Linked DNA regions of Schizosaccharomyces pombe. The gene in region 2 interacts genetically with the main gene of each other region. Each region holds a gene or a part of one and is shown on either strand. Other genes may lie near its edges. The genes, in order: fxn1 and php4.

Evidence for each region.
Region 1: of php4 (region 2) and fxn1, a mutation in one rescues a mutant of the other (synthetic rescue), as found in Schizosaccharomyces pombe (one study listed by BioGRID).

Annotation. Positions count from the first base shown.
Region 1 is NC_003421.2:594,919-599,176, forward strand, and holds fxn1 (frataxin), read right to left. Parts: upstream 2,341-4,258; 5' UTR 2,161-2,340; coding exon 1,924-2,160; exon of another isoform or gene 1,844-1,923; coding exon 1,749-1,843; exon of another isoform or gene 1,595-1,748; coding exon 1,450-1,594; 3' UTR 1,085-1,449; coding exon of another isoform or gene 575-1,084; 3' UTR 533-574; downstream 1-532. Other genes in the region: SPOM_SPCC1183.02 (glutathione S-transferase), read left to right, coding at 142-294, 575-1,084; RNA metabolism pathway protein Pet127, read right to left, coding at 2,696-4,128, 4,178-4,258.
Region 2 is NC_003423.3:1,914,713-1,918,965, forward strand, and holds php4 (CCAAT-binding factor complex repressor Php4), read right to left. Parts: upstream 2,181-4,253; 5' UTR 2,026-2,180; coding exon 1,138-2,025; 3' UTR 663-1,137; downstream 1-662. Other genes in the region: SPOM_SPBC16E9.02C (CUE domain protein ), read right to left, coding at 3,449-4,253. UniProt on the Schizosaccharomyces pombe protein: Component of the transcription regulatory CCAAT-binding complex. Required for the reprogramming of the cell for iron use. Down-regulates pcl1, sdh4, and isa1 underlow-iron conditions.

The DNA.
Region 1 (4,258 bases), on a different chromosome or scaffold from region 2:
ATTTATTGTTGTAAAAAGTCCATTTTTTACAAACCTAGAATTCTCTTCTTTCATCTCATTTATATTGTTGCTATATGTGTTTTCAGGCCAGCGACTCACTCTCCACAAACCAACCTCAATTCATTTTCGAAATATATCATCATGTTTTTGGGCACATTATATTCTTTCAAAACTAATACGAGAACTGTTTGCCTTTTGGAGTTGGCTAAACTCCTTGATCTCCAAGTTGATCTTGTTGAGACTTATCCTCATAAATTCTCTGCAGATTTGGCTGCAAAGTTTCCTCTCCAAAAGGTATGTAATTATAAATTTAATTTAAAAAAATTTTTGGCAATATAAGTCGGATGTCGTGTATTGGAATCTGTAGGATTTTACCGTGGTTTAATAAGTGGAGGGTTTTATAACGTTTTGCAAGTCTGTTTCCAATTGTGGCTTACTTCATATAAATGCCAAAACACTGTTTACAAATTATTAAAATTCGACATTTGATTTGAAATGTGACATGCTAATATTCGTTCACCGTACTTATTTTACGCATAACTTTTTAGGGTAATATTGACTAATTAATTACTAGCTCCCTGTCTTCATTGGTGCTGATGGCTTTGAATTATCTGAAGTTATTGCCATTGTTAAATATTTCTATGAAAAGGGAAAGCACAATGACAAGGAAGGACTTGGTCCTGTCAATGAGGTTGAAGAAGCTGAGATGTTAAAGTGGATGTGCTTCATTAACTTTGACATCGTAACGCCTCAAAATGTCCGCCCTTGGGTTGGTATGTTCCGTGGTAACATCCCTTACGAGGAGAAGCCTTTCAAGGAATCTGCCACCAGAGCAATCGATAGCTTGAAGATTCCCAACGAACTTGTTAAGGATCGTACATATCTTGTAGGGGATCGCTTCACCCTCGCCGATTTATTTTTTGGAAGTTTACTTCGTATATTCTTCAATTCCATTATTGATGAAAAAACACGCAAGGAGCTTCCTCATTTAACTAGATATTATATAACTATGTTTCATCAAGCAAAACTTGAAACATATTTTCCCTTGGAGTTGCCTTTGACCGTTACTGTGGCCAAGAAGTAAAGAGATTTAGCGCTGATGCTCCTGCTACTATTTTATATAACTCCAATAAAATGCGTTCTTTCACAAACGCGTGATTTAAGATAGAAGATTGAAAGAAAAAGAGAAGCTATGGAAATGTAACTAATCTCTTTTATTAATAGCTTAAGTATATTTCAAAATAGATTGCTCACAAACCTTTAGAGCAAACCATCATCATTGTGATGAGCTATACTTTTAAATTTTTAAGATTCTGAGATTTACAAAGACTCTTCTAATGAAGTAAGTAAAATTACTTTTATAAAATAAATTGTAATTTTTTGTTTAATTTGGGATTTTGTTGTTCAACTTTTAAGACAAGCTCATCGTAAGTTTCATATTGGTCACCTCTAAAAATCTTCGGACTTTTTGAACTCAATGGGTCGCGAAAACCATTTACTGAATTCGCTCGATAAGATTCCTAGTAGAGTCCCTTCATCACGGGTTGAACACCAAGTTTTTGATTTGAGAGAATATTCATAATGTTTGGGACCACTGGTTTTAGGTTAGTACCGATTCTAACAAGACTAAACTTGGATGCTAGTCTAATATAATGGGACTTAAGGTCATAATTATACTAAGACTAAAAATTTCCTTTAAGCACTCGATACTATAGGAAACATGTTTGGCAATAGCTGACTGTACCTACCTTACTGGGGATGAAAGCCAAATTTGATGAGCAGGAGGCTGCTTATTTATTACATAAGTCCCCTTTTCACCAAGCATAAGAGTAATTACTCCATTCTGCAAATCTAGTGTTAGAATCGTTTCAACACAAACTCAGCTAGACTAATTGTAATGTTTGGGCAACTCTGTTGACATACAGCATATTGAATATCATAATCTTTTTTTCCTACTTCTTCTAATAAATCCTCAAATGTATCATTTAAGACATCAAGGGTGTCATCTGCAACTCGATGATACTCAAGATCCGTCAAAGCTCCATTATGCCGTACTTGTGAATAATACCTACAGCGTAGCCCAAAAACATTAGTCGAGAATTCATAAGGCTTCAAAAAAATTGGGGTTCGTCTGCGAAAGGCTGCTCGCAAAGACTGCATATTTCATATCACGGCTCTTTCACAATCTCTCTTGTCGGTGTAGGCTTAATTGCTAGGTACAAAGAAAGAAAATAAATGATATTTTTCGATAAAATTATATGTCAATAATTCTCTTAATTGCAAATATTACAAAATTACTCTTCAATGAGTAGTTAGCGGATAATTCGTGTGTTCGCACTTGGATCAAATTACGGTCGCAAACTCAAGAAGTGAATTTACATAAAGAAGGAATTCTGGGTTTTGGGAAATATGCTGTACAGAACGACTTAGTCCTTTTCGAATAAAGTATTTATATCTAAACGGTTTGAACAATTGTACTTTAAGGTACATCGCTTCAACACTCATCCATAAAAGGGTAATGATCTTAATTGAGTTGCAATTAGTAGAAAATGGAAAATAAATTAATTAATCCACTAACAAAAAGTTGTCCATTTAAGCTAAACAAAGCTAAATAAATAATAAAGTTAACTATATCATTAAATGTAACACATCAACTTAAGTTAAAAACAATCATTTCTCAATAATTTGACCATCGTCAATTCCTTTTATAATATTGTTCGGAACAAGCGTAATAGTCGTGTAACAAACTTTCAGGTGGATTTGAGATTTTGCTTTCTCGTCTTTTTATGTCATCTCTCAGCCGTATGTAATTTCTTAATAAATTATCCTGATCACGAGGTTTTCGAAAGTGATATTTAATAGACCATGTTTCCTTTTCATCAAGATGTTTGACAACAGACTTGTGAACACCATTCACAAATTGTAGGGCACAAACTTCTAATGCACAAAAATTGGAAGGTGACACAGTTTTGGCTTCCAGATTTTTCTGACCATCCAGTAAATCAAACCCCCTGTTTTCTTTATCATCTGCTACTTCTAAGTACACTTTTAAAGGGGGGTTAGGTACGTCTTCAGTAGTAGAAAGCATAACTCGAAATGAACGTTTAGGGAAAATTGAAGTTGCATATTGCAGAATTTTTTCCAACAATTGAAGATTTAAATTAAATTCCGCTTCGCCTATTTCACTGCTTCCATGAATTGCTCGGTCCATCGCCACAAGCGGTATATACTGAAAACCAAAAATATCGCTTGTGTTATGATATGCAACGAAAACTCCTTGCATGTAACCAAGTCTGGCTTGCAGACTATACTTCATAAAAGCGGACCTAATTAAATCAAAGTACTCTCGCTCGAACGAGATTCGGTTTCCATAATAATGCGTAAGTTTATAACTCTTGAACAATTCCGGCTGTGTCTGATTCATACGAACCCCAAATACAGCTCTCGTCTTCAAATCAAAGACGCCAGATTCAGGAATTTTCTTATCGTAACAATCCAGTTGAGATCTAACCAAAAGCGAAGAACATCGACCATACTGAAAGACATCCTTTAAAGGCTTCAGTACACCGTTTGAAGAGGGAGGTTTCTTGTATAACAAGAACTGGTCTTTATCAACAGTAAAAAAAGTCTCCAACGATTTCCCAACGTTCATCAATATGATGTTGACAGAAGGTTCTTTGGTCAAGCTCTTGTCTTTGTCTATACAATAAAGCCCGTTTTGATAACTTATGTGTACACTACTAGCCGATCGGCATAATCGTGTAAAGTTACGTTCATTTGGACTAATGTAGAATCCTTTTGACAGATCTGAAAAATTCGGAAATTTCCATTTACTTATAAAGAAGTGTAATTGAGACATTAAGCCAGTCAAAGAACTAGTGGAACCAACAAATTCAGCACCGATAGAATTTGCGACTTTTTGTAATTGTTCATCTTCGGAAGGAGGACGAAACTTACTTAAAAGGCCAAAATTAAATTTATCAACTGGCAAGATTTTTGACAAGTATTCATCCCATTTATAGTCATTAGTCTTCGGATCACGAAGAAACTGGAATTTCTTTTTAGGTAATACAGTGTCCAAATGGTGCTGTAAGTTGCCTATTGACTCTTTGTCCACAACGTTGACTTCTACAAAAATAAATTAGTTAGTCTGACTTGCAGCGCTCAATATACTTACTTTCAAAGGCAGACGCTTTAGAGTGTAAAACGTTGTCTGCAGCTTTAATATTACAACTATTAATTTGAAAACCTTTATGTA
Region 2 (4,253 bases):
AGGATTTTGGTTAAAATTGGCAGCACAATATAGTTTTTGATGCAATTACAGTTAACATGCATAATACTTGTTTTGAAAAAAAGTTATGAATAAAAGCTCAATTGTAAGCACATCACAAAGAACGATTTTTAATCGTAATTGACGATATGTAATTTTGGATTTCATATAAAATTGTAACTACTTATTAAATGATCATTAGGGGAAATAGCGCACACTGTTTTATATCCTCTTCAAATTTACAAAATGAAATTAATCAATTTTAGCAATTTACCTATTTTATATGATTGAATTGAATTGAAAAAACCATGAGTTGATTATGACGCTGAAAGAAAGACATATAAGATCCTTAGGACACTACAACTCTTTCTACTTGAATGCGAAAGTGGATTGGTCTCACCAAAAGATTACCGTACACAAGAACTTCGGTGCTCTAGCAAGTTTTCTTTCAACCAGGGCAATTGCAAAACGAAGAAATTCTAGTGGTACACCACACTGTTAAAAAAAATTGACTAGCATATTAACATTGTTAGATTATTCACTTTTTAAATTTGGAAATACGAAGCTTCAAACATAAGCCATAATAAACACAGTGAAGGCTTTAGCATTAAATTTATTAAAAACACTGCTTAGCAGTTTGTAAAGTCAAATGTTTGCTATGAACATTTTGAGTAAAAATATAACAAAGATTTATTCTTTTCTATACAAATCAGAAAATATATAAAAACAAAACATATAGTGAAATTAACATATATAACAGAAAAGGAAGCAATGTAATGAACAAAGCGATCTAGACTAGAATATGTCAAGGAAACATACTTTACGACGTACAGCCAGTCTAGTGAGTAAAAAAAAAACACACTCTTAAAACAAATACCAAGAACACGAAAAATAAAATGTTGTAATATTTCTGAATGTATTGGTTCAAATACCAGTAGTGAACGTTAGTATTAACAGAAAGAAATCCAAAAAGAACGAAAATGCACAACGAATAAAATAGTATGAAGCAAGATAATTAAGTCCGAAAATAAAAATTCCGTACCATGGAAAAAGGTAATGGAGATCACTTACAAACAGAAAAGTCGCTGCTGAGATGCAATAACAAGAGGAGATGAGAGATGACAAAAACTTTTGGGAAACTTAGGAAGAAGAGGATATGGAAGTGACGGGACGAACATCGTTAAAATTTGGTTCCATGGTAGGAAGTTTGAAGGCGATTGAAGGACCTGCCTTTAACATCGGAGCAGACTTCGAGGACTTGTGTAAGTCAATAAGTAGTTGAGCATAAACCTTGGTTTCCTCGGATTCACGGACACGTTTAACAGATTTAGGGCTTCCAGAGTACAAACATCCTTCTACACTATTGCAAACACCACGTTTACGTATCTTCTCCATTACTGCTGGGTTTTCAGGTGTAAAATTAATTTCGTTTTGGGGAGACATAGATACACGAATTCTTCCATTTTCGGATGGAACGGACTTTGCATCTTTACTGTCACTATCCACACGAATTCTCTTGGCCGAATCACCCAAGAAGGCATGAGGATCTAGCTCAATGGGAATCTCTGTATAAACGGCATTCTTAGCACAGGGCGGCTCGACCGGATAATTGTACTGATTTACATAACGGTTTTCATTCTCAGTAGTCGCAGAATCTGGCTTGACAACTTCAGAGTTTACTTCGACTTCCTTGGGGCTATCCAAAGTAGAATTCTTCAACTGAGCCTGCAGCATCTCCAACTGCTCAAGCAGCTCGTTGTTCTCCTTCTGTAACTTTCCGATCGTATCCTGATATTGTTTTTCACGAACACGGAATTTGGCTTCCTCGACCGACAAAGCTGAAGTCGGCCCAGGTCTTGGTTTAATAGGTGCCTTTCTTCTTCCCAGAGCATCTAACGCAGGTTTCCTTCCTGGTTTGGGACGAGGAGGAACAACCCATTGTTTAGAGACGCGAATCATCGGCTTTTGAGGTGCTGGAGAAGCAGAAGATGATTTTTCCACTTCCGATGGACTTTTAGACGATTCCATGAGCAAAAAAAAAGTTGGGGGGATAGGAGATATCAAGTACAGAACTACACTTTTAGCAAAATATATAAATCTTTATTTTCCAATACTCCAATGCCTCTACTGACCAAGCTTAAAAATCTCACTTTTTCAAACGTTTGTCGTTGGTGGTTTGTTTTAATCTGATAAAGAGATACGATTAAATTATATCTGATCTAAGTGCCGTGTGGTTCGATGATTGTACTGTTAACCCGGTATGCAACACCTCGTTATATCTTTAAAGACTCAATTTTCGGGAAAAAACGGATTAGTGAACAGGTCGGCTTAGAGGCGCTGTTGACATACATTCTCAATACCCATCATTTCAGTTACAGAACCAATTAAAAAACGCGGGTATGGTGGACATCATCTGATTAAAACCGATCGACCTAATAAACTCTGGGCTCTGGCTATGTAATACTACAATCATTCGGCACACCAACTATCATAGTAATGCTTATCCATGTTACTTTTTTGGAGTTAAATTAATGTTCTGACTCACTGCTTTTCTCATGTCATACCGTCCTTTGAAGATTATTTAACATTTGTTTATATTTTTGATATAATGAGATGAAACGAAAGTGCACTAACACATGTGACTGTTTTTTGACTCCTAGTATATAAGAAATGTGAGTGAGTTAAAACAAAGCTTCATCTCACAAAATAATGAATTACTGATGTCAAAAAGTCTGCTCTCTTCTAACGCGGTTATAATATAGAACCGTATTAATGGTTGCAGCTTTTTCCTCTTCATGGAATCGGTATAGATTATGTCGGGGAGACCGACAGCATAGCTTAAAACCATCGTGAAGTCGTTGCTTCGTGCCATGGCTCGTGATGACCGAATGCTACGTACAGTTTTTATATTTTATATCATTTTTTAGTTTGATTTATGTTGTATTCAGTTATTGTTGTAGTTAAAATACGTTGTTTTAATAATTCACGTTGTTTCGTGCCTTCTCAATGAATATCATTTTTTTGTAAGCATCATATGTCTCATGTACAGTAGTGGTAAAAAGAATAAAGGTTGCTATGCACGCAAGGATGGAGTGAATGTATGGATACTTAGCTACTCAGTTTATCCAAATGGTTTCGATAAAACTTCAAGCACAATCTTAAATTAAAGTTACTTTGCAAATTCATCAACGGGATTGCGATTGTCGTGAAAAATTTAATTGATTATTAATAATTCAATTATAAAAATATGAAACAAAAGAGCTCGAAAAAACATTACTTATAAGAAAAATCGAAACAGCGCTAAAACATTTACTGTAAAGCTGAGGAACACCGAAAATAGCAAAATTTAAATCTTCAAGCTACTCGTACCCTGAATACTCAAGGCATATATAGTACCATTAGCTGATTACAACTCTTGAACCTATCATGATGTGCCTTGTTGTTCTTTCCCTTAAGTCTCTTTTCCCGAATTTTGTAGATCAGCAGCCTCCTCGATCTTTTCCTTAACATCTTTGCTGTCAACTTTTTCAGCCTTTTCATTTGCCTCTTTATTATCATCCTTCGCAGGCTTCTCGTTAGTGTCCTTACTGTCAGTCTGTTCGACTTTGTCCGCAGTTTCTTTGCTATCGGTCTTTTCCTCCTTGTCATCGACCTCTATACTATCAGTCTCCTTAGCCTTGACATCGGCCTCTTTACTTTCAGTTTCTTCGACCTTGTCCTCAGTTTCTTTGCTATCGGTCTTTTCATCCTTGTCATTGGCCTCTATACTATCAGTCTCCTTGGCTTTGACATCGGTCTCCGTTTTACCAGTGTCTTCATTTGTTATCTTTGTATCTTTCTCCTCAACATCCTTATGAAGACTAGCTTTGTTATTTTCGTCCTTACTCTCCTTTTCTTCCCCAACGTCAGATTTCTCTTCTAAATTGGCTTCCGAATCAGCATTCTTGGCTTCAGTTTTCTCAGAAATTTCAGCTGTATCAGACACATCGGATGCTCCTTTACCAACAGCAGGCTCATCAGTTTCGGTTTTTTCGGCTTCAACAGAGGTAGAGTCCTTTGGCTCAGATGTTAGTACCTTGGATTTAGCATTGGATGATCCCATTTGTTCTTCTGATACGGTCTCAAGCGTGCGAGCGGCTTGCTTTCGTGACTCGTCGGGTTTTTTTTCCACTACAACTTCCTTAGTGCTTGCAGTAGGCTTACTTGTGTCTTTTTTCATCTCTAACTCTTCATTGTAAGCTGATTCAAGATCACTA